Xenopus tropicalis: one gene and its partners. The protein of the gene in region 1 purifies or fractionates together with the protein of each later gene. This does not show direct contact. Links are inferred from orthologs where the notes say so. Each region holds a gene or a part of one and is shown in the gene's direction. Other genes may lie near its edges. The genes, in order: smarcc2, bcl7b, bcl7c, ss18 and dpf2.

Evidence for each region.
Region 2: the proteins of smarcc2 (region 1) and bcl7b purify together in Homo sapiens (affinity purification with mass spectrometry; 3 studies listed by BioGRID and IntAct, counting the BioPlex papers as one, with this or other methods). This does not show direct contact. The link is inferred for Xenopus tropicalis from reciprocal best matches to the Homo sapiens genes SMARCC2 and BCL7B.
Region 3: the proteins of smarcc2 (region 1) and bcl7c purify together in Homo sapiens (affinity purification with mass spectrometry; 4 studies listed by BioGRID and IntAct, counting the BioPlex papers as one, with this or other methods). This does not show direct contact. The link is inferred for Xenopus tropicalis from reciprocal best matches to the Homo sapiens genes SMARCC2 and BCL7C.
Region 4: the proteins of smarcc2 (region 1) and ss18 purify together in Homo sapiens (affinity purification with mass spectrometry; 3 studies listed by BioGRID and IntAct, counting the BioPlex papers as one, with this or other methods). This does not show direct contact. The link is inferred for Xenopus tropicalis from reciprocal best matches to the Homo sapiens genes SMARCC2 and SS18.
Region 5: the proteins of smarcc2 (region 1) and dpf2 purify together in Homo sapiens (affinity purification with mass spectrometry; 8 studies listed by BioGRID and IntAct, counting the BioPlex papers as one, with this or other methods). This does not show direct contact. The link is inferred for Xenopus tropicalis from reciprocal best matches to the Homo sapiens genes SMARCC2 and DPF2.

What each region holds. Positions count from the first base shown.
Region 1 is NC_030678.2:137,498,657-137,502,930, forward strand, and holds part of smarcc2 (SWI/SNF complex subunit SMARCC2), read left to right. Parts: coding exon 1-22; intron 23-125; coding exon 126-384; intron 385-516; coding exon 517-678; intron 679-2,903; coding exon 2,904-2,936; intron 2,937-4,274. UniProt on the Homo sapiens protein: Involved in transcriptional activation and repression of select genes by chromatin remodeling (alteration of DNA-nucleosome topology).
Region 2 is NC_030678.2:30,751,439-30,755,712, reverse strand, and holds the end of bcl7b (B-cell CLL/lymphoma 7 protein family member B), read left to right. Parts: intron 1-681; coding exon 682-834; intron 835-1,481; coding exon 1,482-1,561; intron 1,562-2,784; coding exon 2,785-2,874; 3' UTR 2,875-4,187; downstream 4,188-4,274. UniProt on the Homo sapiens protein: Positive regulator of apoptosis. Plays a role in the Wnt signaling pathway, negatively regulating the expression of Wnt signaling components CTNNB1 and HMGA1.
Region 3 is NC_030685.2:5,708,635-5,713,375, reverse strand, and holds the start of bcl7c (B-cell CLL/lymphoma 7 protein family member C), read left to right. Parts: upstream 1-1,323; 5' UTR 1,324-1,548; intron 1,549-1,863; 5' UTR 1,864-2,015; coding exon 2,016-2,107; intron 2,108-3,014; coding exon 3,015-3,093; intron 3,094-4,702; coding exon 4,703-4,741. UniProt on the Homo sapiens protein: May play an anti-apoptotic role.
Region 4 is NC_030682.2:110,346,691-110,351,445, reverse strand, and holds the start of ss18 (protein SSXT), read left to right. Parts: upstream 1-1,595; coding exon 1,596-1,664; intron 1,665-4,663; coding exon 4,664-4,740; intron 4,741-4,755. UniProt on the Homo sapiens protein: Appears to function synergistically with RBM14 as a transcriptional coactivator. Isoform 1 and isoform 2 function in nuclear receptor coactivation. Isoform 1 and isoform 2 function in general transcriptional coactivation.
Region 5 is NC_030680.2:32,327,473-32,331,746, reverse strand, and holds part of dpf2 (zinc finger protein ubi-d4), read left to right. Parts: intron 1-145; coding exon of another isoform or gene 146-187; intron 188-2,303; coding exon 2,304-2,450; intron 2,451-2,816; coding exon 2,817-2,945; intron 2,946-3,952; coding exon 3,953-4,065; intron 4,066-4,274. UniProt on the Homo sapiens protein: Plays an active role in transcriptional regulation by binding modified histones H3 and H4. Is a negative regulator of myeloid differentiation of hematopoietic progenitor cells. Might also have a role in the development and maturation of lymphoid cells.

The sequences.
Region 1 (4,274 bases):
GGAGACGCTGTTGCTACTTGAGGTGTGAAATCTGGATATGCTTCACTGAATAAATGATTTGGCACTTAGAATTTAGTTAGATATTTTGAAAATGTATGCCAATTACCTATGCCTACCTAACACAGGCTCTGGAAATGTATAAAGATGATTGGAACAAAGTATCTGAGCATGTGGGGAGCCGCACACAGGACGAGTGTATCCTGCATTTCTTACGACTTCCCATTGAGGATCCATATCTAGAGGACTCTGAGGCCTCTCTGGGACCACTGGCCTATCAGCCCATACCCTTTAGCCAATCGGGGAATCCTGTGATGAGCACAGTAGCCTTCCTTGCATCTGTAGTAGATCCTCGGGTAGCATCAGCTGCAGCAAAATCAGCTTTGGGTTTGTTACTTTTATTTTTATTTGTTGGTACAGTCTTTGCTGTATTCAGGGGCATTTTGGCCCCTAGTGCCCCAGAAATGTTGGGAATATTAATAACCTTTAAAAGACTTTGTAATGTTTCTGATTTATTAGATGAATTTTCCAAGATGAAGGAGGAGGTTCCCACAGCACTGGTGGAAGCTCATGTCAGAAAGGTCGAGGATGCAGCCAGAATCACTGGAAAAGCTGATCCTAGTTATGGCCTTGAGAGCAGTGGTATTGCTGGAACAGCTTGCGAAGACAACGAGAGGATAGGTGAGTTAGACTCTTAAGTCAATATATATATATATATATATAATCTCAGACTGCTTTTCTGGTTCCCAGATATATTGATACAGATATGGGATCTGAATGTTAGGTATGTTTTTCAGGACTACGGTCTTTGTCTCAGGGGGACACGGGGAATGCATGAGGTTGAGCTCCACCCTCCAGGAGGCTGGACACTTGAATAACAAATTAAGGGGATGTACCAGGTCCACTCTGGCTTTACCCCTACATTGTACCCAATCCAGGAAGATTTTCAAGTATCCTGCTTCCAGGAGTTTTGACAGCCATGTCTCTAATGAGACTCTGACATAATTTCTTTGGTTAGTTCAGGGCAAGGGCCTTTTCCCCCCAAAATTTAAAATATCACAGGGCGGATTTATGAGGATTGAGAAATTCTTCCTAATCTTTCTTGGTGCATCTTTCACAAGAGAATTTAGTTTTAATTATTTGTTGTACACATTTTTTTTAGCATCAATATGATAGTGACATGTTCCTCATTTATCAGGGACTTTTCACTATGACATAAGCTCTTCAGTGAGATGCTTACTGCTTCCCCACAGACCCCTGGTACTGATATGTAGGCAGCACCTCTTCCAGTGATCCCCAACCAGTGGCTCGTGAGCAACTTGTTGCTCATTGGGTTTATTTTGGATATTGCTCCCAGTGGCCTCAAAGCAGATGCTTATTTTTGAATTTCTGGCTTTTATCCAAGTTTTGGTTATATATAAACCAGGAGTAATGCAAAACAAAGCCTCCTGTAGGCTGCCAGTCCACATAGGGGCTACCAAATTGCCAATCAGAGACCTTATTTGTAACCCCAGGAACATTTTTCATGCTTTTGTTGCTCCCCAACTCTTTTTACATTTAAATGTGGCTCACAGGAAAAAAAGTTGGGGATCCCTGCCTTAGAAGTTGACATCTGGCTTTGAGGCAGGTGGAAGTTCTAATAGGTTGAGGACAAATGTAATTAATACGACAGCCTATTAACAGGGGTCTGCAGTGGAGCATGGAGGTTGGTGGGGATGGCAGAGGGGTTATTAAAGGGATAGTAGTAGTTAGGTAAATGCAGGGGTGCTGCTGCCATGAGGCAAGTTGAGCTTCTGGTAACCTTTTAGTGTCAAAATTCTGATTTTTAAATTGGAATTTCATCTCTTCTAGTGCAGAGAGCAGTCTCTGCTTGCCAAAAGCTCTGAGCTGTAGATGCTGGGGGCAAGTGGGGACGGCACCGTTGGAAAGTTTGCCTCAGGGCGCCCAGGGAAGTAGGATGCAAAGATTTTCTTTCAAACCCTGATAGGCCCTTTCGTTTAAATGAATCTCTTTAACTTTGAGCCCCCACTTTGAGAAAAGACTATAATAAATATCCAAAAGGAAATTTTATAAATATCTAGGTGTAATTATTTACTTTTGTTGCAACTTTTATATTATTGGTTTCCACAGTTGCTGCGTAAAGGATTTCCAAATAACACATGCCATACATGTGTGATTATATTTTGTTTAAAGAAAAATGTTTTAGATTATTGCATATATTTACTGTTTTAATAAAGTGACTGAATGTTGTTAGACAATGTTGCTGAGCTGTTCTATTTATCTATGGATCCTTTGGGTTACTTTGGTGTTGTTAGTCAGGCAAGGGAGAATAAATGACTGAAAGTTGCCTTTTGTCCACTCTGTAATGCAATCTAAGAATAAGTCATTAAATATATGGCAGATTTGAACATGTAAATCTTAATCGCCACAAAAATATATCTGTTGAATACGACACCTTTTGGCTTGTGTCAAATTGTATTCATTTCAGGCAAAATTTACCTTGACTCCTGTCTGACATGTTCACTTTTAATTTAAATAAACCTTGGGCCAGAGGGGTATGTTAAAAATAAAATAGCATAATATATATTAATCCATTTTGGATTGGCCAGCTATCAATTATCACCAGTTACTTTTCCATTGGTGCCCTATATTTCCCTTGGTGTCAGGTGCTGAGTGTGAAATGTACATTTCAGAGAGCCCTGTGGGTTAATATGGAGGACAACATTTTTTGTCAGCTTGTGGCAGCAGTTATGCCTTGTATACACATCATAAGTACCTTATGCAGAGGGGCAACCATGTTTTTAAGTTTTAATTATGAGATTAATATAGAGATGAACTGTACAAGGCCCTTCATATTTGGAAAGTCAGTAATTATTTCTTTCTGTGTTTATTGATGCCTTTCACAGATTGTCCCAAAAGGAGCACCCCTGAAATCCATGGTAGGAAATATTCCTCTCTTACACACAAGACTTCTTTAACATGATACATTCCATTTCTACAACCATACACATTTCTACAATCATAAAAATGCAAAGTTGGAATAGAAGAGAGTTTTGTCAAATTATATTTATGTATGAATAGAAGGAGGGAAGGAAGAAAAAGGGGGAGGGGAGGAGATGGAGAGTGTATCATGGTATTTTAGACAGCAGTTGCTGGAGACTCCAGCCATGGGTTCCAAATCTTCTCAAACTTTTGTGGGCATCCTCTGGCTAGGTAAGTTAACCTGTAGAGTTCCAGTTGAGAGTTTATCAGCTTTATCCATTTATTTAAAGTAGGAGGTAGGGGACCCATCCAATGTAGAGCCACAGTTTTTTTTTTTTGCATAAAACAAAAGAGCCCTCATAAGGGATCTGGAAGCTGTCTTGGGTAATAGGGAGTCCACCAGGCCCAACAGGCATGTGATTGGGTTTAGAACTTGAGGTAAGGAAAGTTTGTCTGCTACGAAGCACTTGACTTGTTGCCAGAATCTCTGGATGTATGGGCAGTTCCAAAGTAGGTGAATAAAATCAGCATCAGGTTCATTGCAGCGAAGGCATCAGGAGTGTTCCAAGCAACCCATCTGGTGTAGTTTCTTAGGCGTTAAGTAGGTTTGGTGTGTAATTTTGAATTGAATTAATTTGTCTCTTGTGCTTATTAATGGGGAATAGATATTGTCTACCACCTCTTCCCAGTTATCCGGGTCCAGGTGGAGGCCACTTGTTTCCCACTTGAGTTTGACTCTGGGTCTGGTGTCATATTTGTAAGCAGTGATTGCTGCATATGCTTTGGAGAGAGTTTTCAGTTTATCCGGGGCAGAGATTACATTTTCTACTGCCGTGTATTGTATGGGATGAGTATTGCTTTGGAACTGTATGTGGAAGAGATGTTACATTTGCATGTAACTGAACACCGACAGGTCCGTCAGGGCAGGTAGTTGTTGGAGTTGTTTGCGGGTTTTTAGGGACCCTGCGTGTAGTAAGTGATGGAGTTGTTTGACCCCTGATCTTGCCCATGTCACTCCATTTTCAAAGGTTGTAAAGTTGTTAAAGAGGGTGTTGTGCCACAAAAGTATGTCAGGTGAAATTGAGTTTTTTGTGTTGGAGATTTTATACATCATGTCCCAGGCTTTTTTTTATAGAATTTAAAAGGGGAATTAGGGGGGGAAGACATTTGCTAGGCCTGTATAGAGCGTGATGTAGGGATTCAATGGAGCCAAAATACAGTGCTTCTAATAGAGAAGCTGGGTTTTCAGTGTCAAATGTTTTCCAGTTCGAGGCATGTGTTGCCTGTGCTGCGAG
Region 2 (4,274 bases), about 110 Mb from region 1:
ATATAACTTGTTGGGGGATAACTGCAGCCTGCAGCAACCTGCAGGAGGGAAGATTATTTGCCCATGGTAGCACAGGCGACTAATCGCCAGGCAATCCATGGCCTTTAGGCAGGCGGTTTTTTTATTCCTAGCATTTGAAGCAGCGTAGGTGGTTTTTCACGGTGAGGGCAGTGAGGTTGTGGAATGCCCTTCCTAGAGATGTGGTAATGGCAGATTCTGTTAATGCCTTTAACAGAGGCCTGGATGAGTTCTTGAACAATCAGAATATCCAAGGCTATTGTGATACTAATATCTACAGTTAGTATTAGTGGTTGTATATATAGTTTATGTATGTGAGTGTATAGATTGGTAGGTGTGGGTTGTGTGTGCTGGGTTTACTTGGATGGGTTGAACTTGATGGACTCTGGTCTTTTTTCAACCCTATGTATGTAACTATGTAACTATGTAACATTGAACAGGGTTTATGTAGTTAATCTTTCCATAAGAAAACCAGAAGCGAATCGTTTCTCATGCTAGTGACTTAACCAAGTGCATGATTCTTTATACTCATTACATTTATAACCCTTTCAGGGCCATTTATGTTGCAGGAGTTTATGTATTATTGTCTGATCTAGTGCAGTATGACACAATTGCTTTTTTGTTCACCGGTTATTTTTTGCTTTCCACTTTTTCTTCCCTTAGATGAGACCAGTAACCAAAGTTCATTATCTGATGTCTACCAGCCAAAGGTGGAAAGCAGCACTTCCAGCCCCAGCCCTCCACGTAGTGTCTCCCCAAGTCCTGTTCATACCTTAGACTCTCAGCCCCCTACATTGGGTCAAGAGAGTCTAGAAGGTCAGTAGGAGGAGTTTAAAGGACTAGTCTAACATAATCAGTACTATGGACTATACATGCCAATTATTTATGTTTTGTTCATGTACAAAAGTTGTGCAGGTATACCATCAACCTGTTCAGAATTACAGGAATGCCATCTAAGTAATAATAAAACAGTAGCTTGTACTTGATCCCCAGTAAGATATAATTAATCCCTGTTGGAGGCAAAATGATCCTATTGGGTTAATTTTAAATTTTTAATAGACTTTAGGAATGGAGATCCAAATTACAAAAAGGTGTCTTATCCAGAAAAGCACAGGTCCCCAGCATTCTGGATAACAGGTCCCATATCTGCACTTGAAGTAGTTTATGGTATATTTTATTTCTTACCTAAATAAATCCCATCCTAGTCTGCTGTGTGTTCTTTAACATAACATGGGTAAATACAATTTTATGGCATGGGTATTTTTCCAGGTTTTAGCTTATGTTTACTAAGGTTTGCAGTGCGCAAGGGTACCTTTTTGGTTATTTATTGGTGCCTTATTTGTTCATTGTTAATGCCCATATACACAGGAAAGATACATTACCAAAGTGTTTTACTACTAATTAGGCTTCTAGAAGATGTTCAGTAGGTGCAGTAATTGTACAGTCTGCATTTATTTCTCCAGAACCCTCCATGCCTCACAAAGAAGTGGCTGATGAACCCCCAACTCTCACCAAGGAGGAGCCATCTCTATCCACTGCACAGGTACAAATAATAGATAAAAAGAGACTAACATATTCAGTGGGAAGGATACAAGGTCATGCCAGTTGAGGTATAGTGGTAGTCTTCTGAATAAGCACCCAACATTTCCAATTCAGAGGGTTGACCTCTCCATCATCATACCCTTAAGGCAGGGGTCCTCAAACTTAGCCCCTCAGGCAAGGGGCCAGTTCATGGCCTCAGACAGTTGGACGACCGGACTGCCATCACCACCTCCCTCCCCGTAGTCAAACTATGGCCCACTCCCCCGCTCTTGCATTCTCTTCCAGCACCACCCACCAACCTACCCACCAAACTGCCCCTCCCCCCTGTGCACGCTCTGTCCGACTGTCCAACAGTCTGTCCACCCTCCCGCTTAGTCCTACCTCTTCCAGCTTCCACAGTCTTCCGTCCATTCGTCCCGCTCCCCACTGACTCCTCTCTCTCCGATTCCAGGGGTGAGGACGCAGAGGGGGGCCAGGTAAATTACCCTGGGGGGCCGGATGTGGCCCCGGACCGTAGTGTGAGGACCTCTGCCTTAAGGCAATGGCAGGTGCTTTGGGTGTTTTTTTTTGTTTTTTTTCTTAAATAGTACATAAACTAGGACTGACAGTTACATCAGCCTTTGACTTGCAGGTGCAAAAGTATTTTTCAGAAGAGTAGAATGCAGTCAGCACCTTGAGCATTGAGATACAAGATGCCACACACGTACTATTTACACTTTCTTTGTCCTTTAAAACATAGGTGTTAATGGGGGATGGGGGGGCAGGGGGGTTGTGGCCATTACGGTGTGTGCCAGCAGTGCAACGGTTGACCCCCCCCCTGGCCCCCATGCTTGAAAAATAATTAATGCCCACTGCTTTAAAGCCTATTGCAGGCTGCATCAAAGCCTATGGCCCCCTGGTTTTCGGTTAATTTGCATGGCATTTAAAGTGCCCCTCTGCCCATGTGATTTTAGATCCTTAGATGAAAGTAGGTGTTTTTTAATTACTCCCTGCTTATGTATTTTTAGTGATTCTGATCAGATTTTATTATGGATGGATTTGGTTTGTGGTTTATCCACATCTTTTGTGAAGGATTTAAGAGCTGTTTACTTTTAAACTGCACCATGTTAATTAGTATTTTATATTCTGCGTAGTTTTTGTTATGGGTTACTGCAGTTTACTCCATGTTAGGAAATGAGCACAACTGACTTTTAATCTACTAACATATATTTTCTTTAATTTCAGGCAGGGGGATTAGATGAATCTGGAGCACCGCCTCTTAAGAGAGTATGCACAGAGGGGCCCTCTCAGGCTCCTGCCATTTTGGAAGGCTAGTTCCAGTTACACATCACACCTACTCTTCCTGCTACAGCCTTCGGAGATCTCTAGATGAGAAAGATTGCACTTGAGGCTGGAAATTGTGCAATTATGTGAAAATGCACCTTTTCACATGAGGGGTGATCACACAACCTCATAAGTGCACAAGCCTTTGCGTATATTCTTTTGCCAGAACCTTAGCACTCTTCTGTAATATCATGGCAGGTCTGCGAATGATTGTGCCAAGAAACATGCTTCCTTCTGCCAATCTAGATCTTCAGCATAACAGACATTTCCTAGACTGTCGTAGCACATTAGAGACATGAAGCTTGTTGCTTTGTTTCTGTAGAGTCTGCCACAAACTCTATTATGCCAAGCTCTCCAGGTGATGTTATCCCACAACCTGAAGTATAGATAGAATTCGTATTATCTATTATTTTTATCAAAGTTTTACCAATCGTTTTAGTCCCATTTGTCGTGTTACCCTTTCACCTGGCCCCATATCTGAGACCTATTGTGGACAAATTACTGCTACAGAAAAGAACCTTCTAAGTGACTCTCCCAGGATTGGCAGATGGTCACATCACATCCCAAACCTAAGATTGTTTCATAGTCTCCTTAATGCCCAGACTTGTGGTCTCATCACTGCTCAAACCTAGAAAAGTATGATGGTCACATAGACATCAATGATTCAGACTGTCTGATTGTCTCATCACTGTCTGAATTGGGATTGTCTGAGAGCCAAATTACAAACCAAATTTGGGACTATTTGAAAGTCTTGTCACCATCTGAACCTGGCTGAGACTATCCAAGGGCCTGCTCATCATTTCGTAGAAGGCGGCCACCACCTAACAGAGGACTTTCTCGAGGACTCTTCCTTACCAAAACCTGGCACTTTAGCTCATGACCACCCAATCCCAAGACAAGCTAATGGTTTCATCACTGGTGAACCTGGGACTGTCGGATGGTCTAATCACTGCGAAAGCCCAGAAAGGTCTGATCTCCTTACTGCCCAAAGGCCTCATAGACATCAATCACTGGGACTGTCTGACTATCTTATCACTGTCCAAACAGGGACTGTTTGAGAGTCTCCTTACAGACCAAACCTGGGACTGTCTGAGGGTCTTGTCACCATTTGAACCTGGGACTTTCAAATGTCCTGATCATCATTTGGCTAGGAGGTAGCCTCTGCCCAATAGCACATTTTGAACACATTTGCTGAAAATACCCAGAAACCTACCTTACTCCATTGCTTAACTTAAGATTACTTTTCTCTGCCTATACTATGCTTAGACTTCTTTGATCGTAAAAAAATATCTTTTGAATCAAAACAACTGCAGAGGAAGCTTTTTAGTTTGGATGTATTTTACCACACAAAGAATATTTTTTAAAAATGAAGCTATTTGAAAAATTGTATA
Region 3 (4,741 bases), on another chromosome or scaffold:
GGGGTCTCTCCCTCTGGGGTCTCTCCCTCTGGGGGTCTCTCTCTCCCTCTGGGGTCTCTCCCTCTGGGGTCTCTCTCTCCCTCTGGGGTCTCTCCCTCTGGAGGTTTCTCTCTCTACTCCCTTTGGGGTCTCTCCCTCTGGGGTCTCTCCCTATGGGGGTCTCTCTCTCCCTCTGGGGTCTCTCCCTCTGGGGTCTCTCTCTCTACTTCCTCTGGGGTCTCTCTCTCCCTCTGGGGGTCTCTCTCTCTAATCCCTCTGGGGTCTCTCCCTCTGGGTCTCTCTCTCCCTCTGGGGGTCTCTCTCTCTACTCCCTCTGGGGGTCTCTCTGTAGCCCCCGCTAGCAATGCTTGCACTGTATATTCCGGGGCTGCTAATGTGGTACTGACCCGTTTGGGTGCATTTGGGCCCCAGTACAGTTATTAACCCTACATTACCTGTTGTATTTGGCTTCCCCAAATAATGCCCAGACTATGGCCCAAACCTGACAGCCCCCCAAGAACCACCCGTACCTGTTACTGGCCCAGCCCAGATACCTGGGAGTCTCCATTACAAAAGGGAAATTTGCACCACACAGAAGGAGCATTATGGGAAAACTGACCCTTGTTTCCAGTAAAGGCCCCCCCAGGATCATTATAATGCACAGTAAATATGGCCGCCCCCTTCCTGCCTTGTCATTTGCTAATGGGCATCTGGGCCCCCCAGGCTTCCTGTGTCTGGGTCTATTTCCATCCCTATTATAACCCCCCAGCCTCGTTATATCTCTGTGCTAACGAGCTACAACTAATATTGTATTTCTACCTCTGTACTTACTGTCCCTGTATAACAGCACCCGGCCCTCCCCGGGGGGAATGGTAATGGCCACATACAGACACAATAAACATTAACTGTAAGTGAACTTTCCCTTTAAACTGTGCAAGGCAAACGCATGGCCTGGGATTCTAATGATAAGGCCCTTCTGGGCACCTGTACAGCTCTTGCTAAACGGAATTTCTGTAAAGGGTTATGGGAGTTGTAGTTCAGCAACTCCCGGAGGCCCCCTGTGCCCTGAGCAGGGAATATGTTTTGCTCCCTGTAAGGAATAAGGGGCACAAACCCAGTGGGGCCCAGAGGGAATGAGCCATGTGGGTGCTGGGACAGGGGTGGGTGGGAGTGTTTACAACTGGATCACAATGGAGGGGGGAGAGTTTCCTGGAAGGGGGTGTGAGTTACAGAAGTTTCCCTGGGACACCAGGGGGCAGCAGAGAGCTCCCAGGGACATGGGCTGTGTGACAGTTGGATATCCGGAGACAGGAACACTCAGAAAAGTGACAGGCACAAAAGTGAAAGGGATTCAGCAAGGGGGAGAGACTGCACAGCAAGGGGGAGAGACTGTACAGCAAGGGGGAGAGACTGCAGAGCAAGGGGGAGAGACTGCAGAGCAAGGGGGAGAGACTGCAGAGCAAGGGAGAGAGACTGCACAGCAAGGGGGAGAGACTGCAGAGCAAGGGAGAGAGACTGCACGGCAAGGGGGAGAGACTGCACGGCAAGGGGGAGAGACTGCACGGCAAGGGGGAGAGACCGCACGGCAAGGGGGAGAGACCGCACGGCAAGGGGGAGAGACTGCACAGCAAGGGGGAGAGACTGCACAGCAAGGAGGAGAGACTGCACAGCAAGGGGGAGAGACTGCAGAGCAAGGGGGAGACACTGCACAGCAAGGGGGAGAGACTGCAGAGCAAGGAGAAGAGACTGCAGAGCAAGGGGGAGAGACTGCACAGGAAGGGGGAGAGACTGCACAGCAAGGGGGAGAGACCGCGCAGCAAGGGGGAGAGACCTCACAGCAAGGGGGAGAGACTGCATAGCAAGGGGTAGAGACCTCACAGCAAGGGGGAGAGACTGCACGGCAAGAGGGAGAGAGCAAACGAAGGAGGAGACCCCCAGAAAGAAAGAAGACAAGGAAGAAATGAAAAAAAGCTGAAGATATTACAGGCCAGAGAGAGAGAGAGAGAGAGAGAGAGAGAGACTGCTGGGCCCCAGACATGGCCAACAGGACAGGCCGGGCAGAGACCAGGAGCCGGGCGAGAGATGACATCAAGAGAGTCATGGCAGTCATAGAGCACGTGAGGCGCTGGTATGGCAGCTAGTGGTTCTGCCCCAGGTGTGGGGTGGGTGGGAGGCAGAAGAGTGGGCTACTAACCCCTGGGCAGCCACAGCCCCTTTTTCTTTGTGATCCAGTTGCCCAGTGGGTCATGTGCTGTGGGGATTGGTCAGTGGGGAGAGGGGGGGCTGATACACGGGGTTAGTGGGCAAAAAGGGGTTCATGCACTTGTACAGCAGTGAGATTTGTGCCTACAGTCTGTGTGTGCTAGATTGGCCGGTAGGCATCACAGGGTAGGTACAAAGGCATGTACTAGATCAGGGTGGAGCAAGCTGGTTGGTGGGTAGGCATCACAGGGTAGGTACAAAGGCATGTACTAGATCAGGGTGGAGCAAGCTGGTTGGTGGGTAGGCATCACAGGGTAGGTACAAAGACATGTACTAGATCAGGGTGGAGCAAGCTGGTTGGTGGGTAGGCATCACAGGTTAGGTACAAAGACATGTACTAGATCAGGGTGGAGCAAGCTGGTTGGTGGGTAGGCATCACAGGGTAGGTACAAAGGCATGTACTAGATCAGGGTGGAGCAAGCTGGTTGGTGGGTAGGCATCACAGGGTAGGTACAAAGGCATGTACTAGATCAGGGTGGAGCAAGCTGGTTGGTGGGTAGGCATCACAGGGTAGGTACAAAGACATGTACTAGATCAGGGTGGAGCAAGCTGGTTGGTGGGTAGGCATCACAGGGTAGGTACAAAGGCATGTACTAGATCAGGGTGGAGCAAGCTGGTTGGCGGGTAGGCATCACAGGGTAGGTACAGAGAGGGGCCTTGGGAGGGCGGAGCCACCCGGCGGTGGGGAACATCACTGTATGGGCATGACGGTGCTGTGGGGCAGGGGGAGCCAGTGACCAGTAAGCTCAGTAATGTCAGTGCCTGTCCCACAGGGAGAAGCGTTGGGTGACAGTGGGAGACACCTCGCTCCGGATATATAAGTGGGTGCCAATTGTGGATCCCAGGGACGAGGTGAGTCTTTGTCTTGCTTTGTGCATTGAGCGAGGGATTCGCTTCCGCTCTTCTCATCGGCATTGGGTTCTACTCATCATCTGTGCCGCTCTACCGGCCAAGCTGGGCATCTTCCTTTCCAACCTGCAGAGCATCTCACTCCCCTCTAACAGAACATCTGACTGACTGTTTCTAATCTGCAGAGCATCTCCCTCTCCACTTCTAACCTGCCAAGCTAATTTCTCTTTTCCAACCTCCAAAACACCTCCACTATACACCACCAGAACTTCTCAATCCCTTCACCTCCCACATCTCAGTCCTTGCTACGCACCTCCAGAACACCTTAGTTATCCTTTCTATACTCCTCCAAACAACCCAGTCCTTTCTATTTACCTCTAAAACTTCCCAGTCCCTTCTATACACCTCTAGAATATCTCAGTCCCTTCTACACACCTAAAGAACATATCAGCCAGTGCTATAAACCCCCAGGACTTCCCGGTTCCTTCTATACACCTCTAGAATATCTATAAACCTTAAGAACATATCAGCCTCTGGTATAAACTCCCAAGACTTCTCAGTTCCTTCTATGCACCTCCAGAACACCTCAATCCATTCTATATACCTCTAGAACATATATGTCTCTTCTCTATACCTCCAGAACATCTTGGCCCCTTCTATATGCCTTAAGAACATATAAGTCCCTGCTATAAAGCGCCATAACTTTTCAGTTCATTCTTTTTACCCCACAACATCTTAGTCCCTTTTATAAACCCCCAGAACATCTTAATTCCTTCTATACACCTCCAGAACATCTCAGTCCCTACTATACTCCCCCAGAACATCTCAATTCCTTCTATACTCCCCTAGAACATCTCAATTCTTTCTATACACCTCCAGAACGTCTCAGTCCCTACTATACTCCCCTAGAACATCTCAATTCCTTCTATACACCTCCAGAACATCTCAGTCCCTGCTATACTCCCCCACAACATCTCAATTCCTTCTATACACCCCCAGAACATCTCAGTCCCTACTATACAACCCCAGAACATCATAATTCCTTCTATACACCTCCAGAACATCTCAGTCCCTACTATACACCCCCAGAACATCTCAATTGCTTCTATACACCTCCAGAACATCCCAGTCCCTACTATACTCCCCCAGAACATCTCAGTCCCTACTATACTCCCCCAGAACATCTCAGTCCCTACTATACACCCCCAGAACATCTCAATTCCTTCTATACACCTCCAGAACATCTCAGTCCCTACTATACTCCCCCAGAACATCTCAGTCCCTACTATACTGCCCCAGAACATCTCAATTCCTTCTATACACCTCCAGAACATCTCAGTCCCTACTATACTCCCCCAGAACATCTCAGTCCCTACTATACACCCCCAGAACATCTCAATTCCTTCTATACACCTCCAGAACATCTCAGTCCCTACTATACTCCCCCAGAACATCTCAGTCCTTGGTATAAACCTCCCTGCAGAACATCTAATTACTTGCAATAAACTTAGAGACCACCTTATTCCTTGCTGAAAACCTGCAGAGCACATTTCTCCTTACTATAAACCCCCTGCTAATATCTCTGTCCCACCCAAATGATCCCCTTCTGCAGGAGAAGCCTGGGGCCCAGACTCCCACAGACCAACAGAAG
Region 4 (4,755 bases), on another chromosome or scaffold:
ACTTAGCTCATCAGATAAGTCCCCTACGCCTCTATCTTTTTAGGAGCGAGTGTTTTTGCTGTCCAGCACTGTGGAATGTGTTGACACTTTATAAATGAGTGCTAATAATACTTTGTCTTAGAGCACTGTGATAGAGGCACTTTGGGGTAACCTAAGTTACAATATTTCTACACTGGCGTTCTTATGAGGTGGCTGTGGCCAATTTTCTGTCCCAGCAGTGATATAATGTAAAATATACAGCACAAACTGACTTCTTACCTTTGTGCATTGTACAAAATTTGTGTTATGTTATTCAGAAAATGATAAAGTATAAAAAAGTTAAAAAGTATATATATATATATATATATATATATATATAACTGAACAGTAGAAAGCACTCACAGCTACAGCATCAATCAGGTCAGTGATTTATTTCAGCATACCATCTACGCGTTTCATCCTGATGACGATCCTGTGGTGATCGAAACGCGTAGATGGTATGCTGAAACTTTCTACTGTTGAGTTTGATGCATTATTTCTGTCAGCACCCAGCCTGTGCCCCATACTGGTGAGTGCCGAATCTTTACAACTCTCTCTCTCTCTACCTCGCATTAACAAAAAAAAAAAAGACGGAAAAGAGACTTTAATACATACTTTATTATAAAACAAACGTTAAACATTGAACGAGAGTATGTAAAGCTGCTGTAACTAACTTGCAGCAAATTCAGGGTTTCTTTGAAAATGCAACTCCCGCCCTCAAAATCGACTTCGCGGTATTGTTTATAGCAGAAAGTCAGCCAATCGCTGATTCCAAGGGGCCAAACACTGCAAGACACGTGTTTATAGCTCATCACGTGTCAATACCTAACTTCTGGGAAGTTCATTCTTCTTCATCATTGAGAAGGGCAAAACCCCTGTATCTCAGTGAGGGTCGCTTCGCTTCAGTTTACACGCCATGTATCATTATAGTTCTGCGAGTTATAATAAGAAAACTATAGCCCACCTTAGTTTCTTTGCAAGCCATACCCGCCAATAGGTAATATGGAATTGACCGATGGGTCGTACCATTATCTCAAACGAGGGGAATGTTATATTAGCTGGTACTTAAAATAGCGATAGCCATTTACTAAGGGTAACATAGACGTTTAACATAACCCCTCAACTGTAACGGTACATGGATATCCTCGCTCGATTGTTTTTAACAACGTACGATTTGGAAGAAACTGTCCATTTCCTGCTTTTCTTTTCGCAAAGGATTATGGTATAAACTTTTGGGCGAGACCTTTCTGTATTTACAGGGGTGTATTGGTAGACTGGGAAGTTATAGCGTTTATTTTATGTCTTCGTTGATTATTCTGTTGTTGTTATTATTAAGAAGTTACACAAGTCTGAGCTTCCCTTAAGGGCCTCTTAGATATATGTTGCCTGTATGGAGTAAATGCTTGCCTGTTTGTTTCCGCACCCCCCCCCCCTAGGATGTTGTTGAGTCGCTTGCTGGAATCTCGCGGTGTGTGAGAGCGGCAGTGGGAAGTCCGTTCCAGATTTCGCCAGTCTTTCCCTTTAGAGACGCTTCGTGCCTACACTTCGCTCCCTTTGTTTTCTTTAGCTCGTGTATCATGTCTGTAGCTTTCGCGGCTCCCAGGCAGCGGGGGAAGGGGGAGATCACTCCTGCGGCCATTCAAAAGGTAACCGCGCCGATATTAAAAAATACGTTCAATGCAACTGCTTAGTCGTGCCCTTCTGCCGGGAGGGAATTCCCCCAACTGCACTGGTGTAGTGCTTTCTAAGGCTGGGGGGCAGTGTACGGGGGTGGGGAGTCCTTACTGTTCTACTTAAATGCTATCGATTAATAAATGGCAAAGTGCCACAAACATATTGTATGTGCCTGGGTTTAACCATAGACAAGGTATCTGGAGCTTTTATCATCAGTTATATTACCAAGGAAGGTCACTGTAGGTGTAAGGACAAAAAAAGGCACATAAACGTGTCAGCAGAGCCAAATTGGTGAGCCATTTTATCTGTACTGTATCTGGGCCACTGGGGATTAACAGCCACCCTAAAGAGGTTCATTAAAGATCATTAAAATCTGTTCTAAGCAACTTTTCAATGTACGTTTGTTACAGTTTTTCAGTGCATTATTCTTCGATGCAAATACTATCGAACACAATATCTCCAATGTCTCCGTACTGTTTGTTCCGACTACTGAAACAAATTAGAAGATGCAGCTAATTAACAGACTTAGAAAAAAAAAAAAGTGCAAGACATTGTTGAAATTGAAATCTAGCTTCTGCAACATTGTATGAGAAATCAGAGCCAGCAGTAAAGATGGCCATGCACGTAGTGAAATGCTTTTCAGTACATTTGGGGGCTTATGGTCCCGACAGATATTTATGTACTGTGGATATTGGTCATTTTGTGTCAGACAGGTTTGGAAATGTATCTGCAAATACAGCATATTACATTACATTAACATTTATTTATAAAGCGCCAACATATTCCGCAGCGCTGTACAATAAGTGGGTTACATACATGGACATACAGAGTAACATATAAAGCAATCAATAACCGATACAAGAGGTGAAGAGGGCCCTGCCCAAAAGAGCTTACAATCTACAAGGAGAAAGGGTTGAGACACAAGCATATCAGCAGGTGCGGGATGTACGTGCTGATGAGGAGGAAAAGTAAAATGGAGTTATGTCCTGAACAGAATAATAGGCTGCCCTAATGTGTTTGGCCCCTTGTATCAGGGGGATACTGTGTTGATTCAACCATGTATGGCTGCTGTAAAAGTGGGAAGAACAGCAAAGGACAGGCTGTTATTGCATTCAGTTGTAATTATTTTTAAGAAATCAGTTTAAAATTATCAATATTTATAATCTGGCTAAAATTCTATTTTAAGTAGGCAAAAGGTTACTTTTGTTTTTTGGCTCCCTTGTTCATAGCTGTTGGTTTTGAACCAGAGTTTTTGTTTGTGACTGGTACTTTGTTTGCATTGACTCCTACAAAATTTCACTCTCATATTGGAATAACACTATTGCACAGGAACCCCTTTATACAGTGTTTGTGTCTGAGTGAGCAGCCATGATGGCTTTTAGCTGTAGGCCCAGGCCATTAAAGGCCACTACACTTCACAGTTCTCCAGGTATATCTGTAAGTACTGTTTCATGTAGTAGATATTCTATGAAGTCGTTGTCACAGAGAAATATGTAAAATAAATATATTCTGATTCTTGTGCTTGGCATTTCATATGATACTGTTAATTTTTAGTTACATTTGTGTTTCTAACTGTACAGGGTAAATATATATATATATATATATATATATATATATATATATATATACATATTTTTCAAGATTATCAAAGCTAAATGGCTATGAATATTTTGGATAGCTTCAAAAATTCTACAGTGCTGTCTCCCCCCTCAGTGCAGCACAATGTACCTTTCTGCCGCATGATTCCTATGGTTGTCCTGTATGTTCCTGCTGAGAGCTTGACATGGCTATACAAGGTTCTGAGAGGCTAGAGACCTTGCTTTTTCATTTATTTTTGTAAAATATAGTGTGCATTGTTGGTGCTATAAAATTAAGCAACGATATGCAGTTAGGTCAGTACTCCAGCATGTAAGAGATTAGCTTTGTCCCTTGCCCATACACATAAGGGGAAACATGCTTTAACTAAGGAAATCATAAGTGGGTTACATTCTTGTGTTTTTGACCACCATAACCTAAGTCTTTCATTGCACAAGAACATGGCAGTGTCACTTTCATTGGTATCACTAATCAAAGGCTGCCAATAGTTCTTATGCACAGGGTTTCTTTATTGGTTCTAAAGCACATTATTTTTAAAGGAGAAGGAAAGGCTAATAAAGAGTTAATCTCAAGCTGCAGGCATACATTCAGTTCTCTAAATAGTGCCCTTAAGTCTCCCCATATTTCACCTGTTAGATGATCAGAAGCCAAACAGGAAGAAAAAACACTGAGCTGTGTAAAGAAAGTTCCCATTATGCCTCACTCCTGCACAGACACCCAGACCAAGTGAACATGCTCAGTTAGTAAGAGTATGAGTGAGCTTCCTGCTGATTGGCTCAGATCCACATTCTTAAGGGAGGAGTGAGTTCTTAGCATACTTGAAGGAGGGGGGAGCAGGAGAGAGGAGACAGCAGAGAGCTGTGTGTCTCTGGCATATGAATTACAGACACAAGAAATCTTTTGACAGAGAAGTCAGTGCAGCATTTCTTTGAGTGCTTATGGCTGTATTTACATAGACCTTTCTGATAAAGCTTACTTAGTTTTTACCTTTCTTTCTCCTTTTAAGTAGATAAATTATGACTCTTTGGCCTATTGCACATTGGGTGTATACTAAGCTAACCCTTTTTTGGCAGTGTATTTTCTGGCGATTAGTATCTGTGAAAAAGTAGCTGCTACTAGAAGCTCCATGTGTCTTCACCCTAAGGGAATTTGCCAGTCACCACTAGTGACATGAATGGAAGGTGAACTAATTGGCATCCAAAAGGTGAACAAAGTGCATCTGGATGTTGGAAGTGTTGAAATGATGCCAAAGCACTATTTAACATTCTCATTTTGACACTAACCTTAATCTTGTATATTAATTTTGTAGTACAGAATGCTTTTTAACTGATCAGTCAGTTATTTTTCAAATTTTTTTTTTTTTTTTAATTTTCAGATGCTGGATGAAAATAACCATCTAATACAATGCATAATGGATTATCAGAACAAAGGAAAAACCTCAGAATGTTCCCAGTATGTATAATATAA
Region 5 (4,274 bases), on another chromosome or scaffold:
TAATGTCTTAAGAAGCTGAATAAATGTGTTGGGTCATCCCACTGTAGCCACACACCTTTTGCTTTACTTGCTCTCTCTGCTCTTGTCTGGGTAGTCTACTTACCCCTCTCTTTTCTCTTTCTCTGTGTGTCTTTCCTTATTTCAGACAGTTACAAACTAAAGCAAACTTCGAAATTCTCCGAAAGAGGTAGTTCTACGTGCTCGCTTATACTGCTAAATTAGCATCTTGCTCACTGCCCCACCCCCTTGCACTGCAGCTTAGCATGTTTCCTTTTACCCATGCCATTTCCCACAGTGGGTTCTGTAAGCCTGTGCTCATCTGCCATCACACAGCTGTATTGTTTTTTTTCTCTCTCTTGGCACATTGGCTTCTCATCAGGCAGATAATTTAGAATAATATAGAATATAAATGTAACCGTATAATGCTGATTAGTAATTCAGATTCTCATTATATGGCAGCTCTGGGACCAGTGCAGTTTGCATCAGAATTTTATAATTAGACCTGTAGCATCAGTTTGACAGGCCAGCCTCATTTTCAGTTTGATCATTTGCGACAACCCCTAAGCTTAGCTTTTCAGTAGCTGCCAAGAAAACACTGATCGTGTGCACTGTCCAGGACAGTTCTAACAGAATCCAAGATGGGAAGCTCCTGTGGCAACTGTAAAGACCTATATACTACTATACTACTATATACTACTGTAGAGATACTAAAACTTGAAGCTAGTACAGTCAGTTTAGTAAAAAAAAAAAAAAAGTATAAAATAGCCATATTCATCTTTAGGGTTTAGTTCTCCTTTAAGGGTGTTGGGAATGGAGGTTATGTTCCATGAAGATGCTCCTCTAAAGCTGGCCATAAACATACTGATAAGCTTTTCATCCTATCTTCAGTTCAAATATGTTTGTCAAATACTTCTGGCTGATATCCTTTATCAGTTTTTATAGGTTGGTTTGTCAAAGGGAAGGTAAAGCCATAGCCAGTGGCATAACTAGAGATATATGGGTTTTGCTGGATTTAATCTCAGGACCCCCACCCACCCCCAACTGGCCACGGCTCCTACTGTTTTTGATTTCTGTCATTTGAGATGGTAGAAAGGTGGATGCACTTTTTATGGATACAATACAATATCCGTCCTTTGGCCCACAGGCTCAGTGGTCATTACCAGCAAATATTAGTATATGGCCACCTTAAGAATTCCGTATAATTTCTGTTCTAAAGGGACTTAAGGCATCATTAAAATAGGTAGCAGAAACAAACCTATCAAGAAATGGACCCATAGGGTCACACAAACATATATTTCAGGGTACTGTTTCATCCATATATGTAAATCGGGGTCTTACTCCGGATCTGGGACAACCTTTTACCTTAAATTGGTAAGGTATGTGCCCAGGTCAGGATGTTGTGCAACAAGCAGGCTCAAAGTTCTGGGGCAATGTAACATGCCTGACTGATTAGTCTCTGTCTGTCTGTGTGCTCTTCCTTACTCCTTGTGTAACACATGTTTCTGTTGCCAGATCAGAAGTGCAGAGGTATTTATCTGCTTCGTAATTCAATAACATTGTTTGCTTTTTTTCTCACTTTAAAAGCAGGCTACCCCAAAGCAGAAGTTTAAGGTTTTTATAGTTATGCTGGTAAAAGTCTGGCCTGGAGGCAAACTGCTTCTAAATATTCAGCCACAGGAATTTAAAATACCTAAACCAAAAGCTGTAGCATGAAGACTGAAGTCCAGGGAGGTTTACTTGGAGGTGCACTTTTAGATTTTGAATACCAACCACACAGACATTCCAGTGCCATCCTAGCTGGCATCTTTAAAATATCATCTCAAAAACTGAAAATCATTTTTGATCTTTGATCTGCCTGTTGGACCTGTACCTCCAATAAAAGAATAACTTTATTTTTTTTTTTACATCTGGCAGTATTGTGTTGGTACTCCTGTGTGGTACATGATGTTTTCTACTTTCACCTTATAAAGCATATTGAGTTATGTAGGTGTCTTTTAGCTTATGGCACAAAAAAGTGGTTGATATTGCAAAATTATTGCTGAATTACTAAATACATTCTAAGTTCTTTGTGAAAACATGACCTTTTTTTACTGTAACAGTAACATCTGTCCCCAATGTAAAACACCTGCAAACTATCCTTTCCTGCCACCCAGTTTCCCTTGTGGCTTTGCTTTGTTATACATCCTCCTGTTTTGGTGGGGTAGTGATTTTTCACCTGACTCTTTTTAATGTTTATCATTGCACTAATGCTTTATTACTTCTTTCTACTCTTCATTTTCTGCTGTCCTGCTTTTTCCCCCCAGTCTGTGGAAAACGCTATAAAAACAGGCCTGGTTTGAGCTATCATTATGCCCACTCACACCTTGTGGATGAAGAAGGTGCCGGGGCAGAAGATAAGGAGGATTCTCAGCCTCCCACTCCTATCATGCAGAGACCAGAGGAACAAAAATGTAAGTTTAGGCATCTACACAGAATGCAGAGGAAATGTTTGGGCAACTTCAGAAAACGAAGCACCATGTATGCTTTCCAACCGGCAATTCACTTTACTGTTAGTGGGAAAGCATTTTGGGGAGATTAGTCGCCCATGGTAGCGTAGATTAGGGCACCATTGTTTTAGGTGTTGCTTTCAAAAGCGATTACAAATTCATTAATTACAAATAATTCAATAGCAATTACAAATACATTTCATATCATTAAAAGTATATATCAAAAATTGCTTAGGATTGCATTACTTAGGTTATTCAAAATAGTTTTTTTAAGTTTGTTCCTTCTTGTTCTCCTTTTTCAACATATTTGATGCTTTTATCTTTTCCCAGCCAAAAAGGGCCCAGATGGTCTTGCACTGCCAAACAATTATTGTGACTTCTGCCTTGGAGACTCTAAGATTAACAAGAAAACAAACCAGGCTGAGGAGCTTGTGTCCTGCTCAGACTGCGGCCGCTCTGGTATGTTAAAAGAAGACTCTAGTATTTGATGAAGACTTAATACTACATGATGCATCTGATTTTATTTTTAACTGGAAAGCTTTTGCATTTAAAAGTTGAAGGCCCAAATGGGCTGTCCTAACACTCATAGGAATTCCGAACTATAATGTTTTTCAGGAATTCTCAATTTAAATATTCTAAAATGGGATATTGTGATGCATATATATGTTTAGAAGCTATATAAATGTGCATTCTGCTAATAATTTAGAGCAGTTCTTGGCTAACTGCGGGCCTCATCCACTTAGAGGGGCATGGGGGATCGGGGAAGTTGGGCAATTTCTGAGTAGCAAGCCAATTAGGGTGAGAGCTTTTTTTTGCACTTTAGATACTCCTGAAATCCCCATTGAAGGGTTAAGTGAGGAGTGAAGACTTACTTGCAGCCCTAGATATTCTTAAAACTGAAAAACGGGTTCATTTGAAACCTTGCTATAAGCTAAGTGGGTTGTGGACCTCAAAATGAATGTTGGGGATGAACTTTTAAACCACTTTGCCGGCCAGTTAACAGTGGTAGCAAAAAGCCAAATTTACAATTTTTTATTTTTCTTCTAGTGCAGAGAGTGCAATAGCACTTTTCTGCACTAGTGATGTGGCACCACCTTTACCTTCTCCGACACTAAAGATTAAGCGCTGTGCGGGGGGACAGGATTGGGGCACCATCATTTGTTTTGCTTTTTTTTTTTTTTTTTTTTTTTTTGTACATCCATAGAACAAATGTATACAGCAACATTGTACAGCAAATTAACTCCCTTCAACATTTGGCAGCTTGCCTTCTAAAGTTCCCCTATGATTTGAGTTATTGATCCTCAGGTCAGAAATATCAGATTAGCTTGCTGAGATTTACAGCCGGTTGCTATGCACATGTTGCAGAGGTCAGCAGAAATATGGTATTTTTTAGTTTTTGGATGAACGCAGATATTGGATACATATGTATGCAAAATATTCACTTACATACTATGTTGTGGACACAGGGCACCCTTCCTGTTTGCAGTTCACACCCGTAATGATGGCGGCAGTTAAGACTTATCGCTGGCAGTGCATAGAGTGCAAATGTTGTAATATCTGCGGAACCTCTGAGAATGACGTGAGTAATTACTTGCTGCTAATTGTTTATGAACTTCCCTGTATTAAGCTCCTGTTTATATCTTTCATTTTGCATAACTTGCATTTGGGATAACCTTATGCCTTGTTTTAAATCTTTAATTACCAAGTACTATATATGCATTTTACCTTGTTTACATTAGAGGATTGTTAGTTCCATTGCATATCCGCCTGTTGCAGATGACATTATAA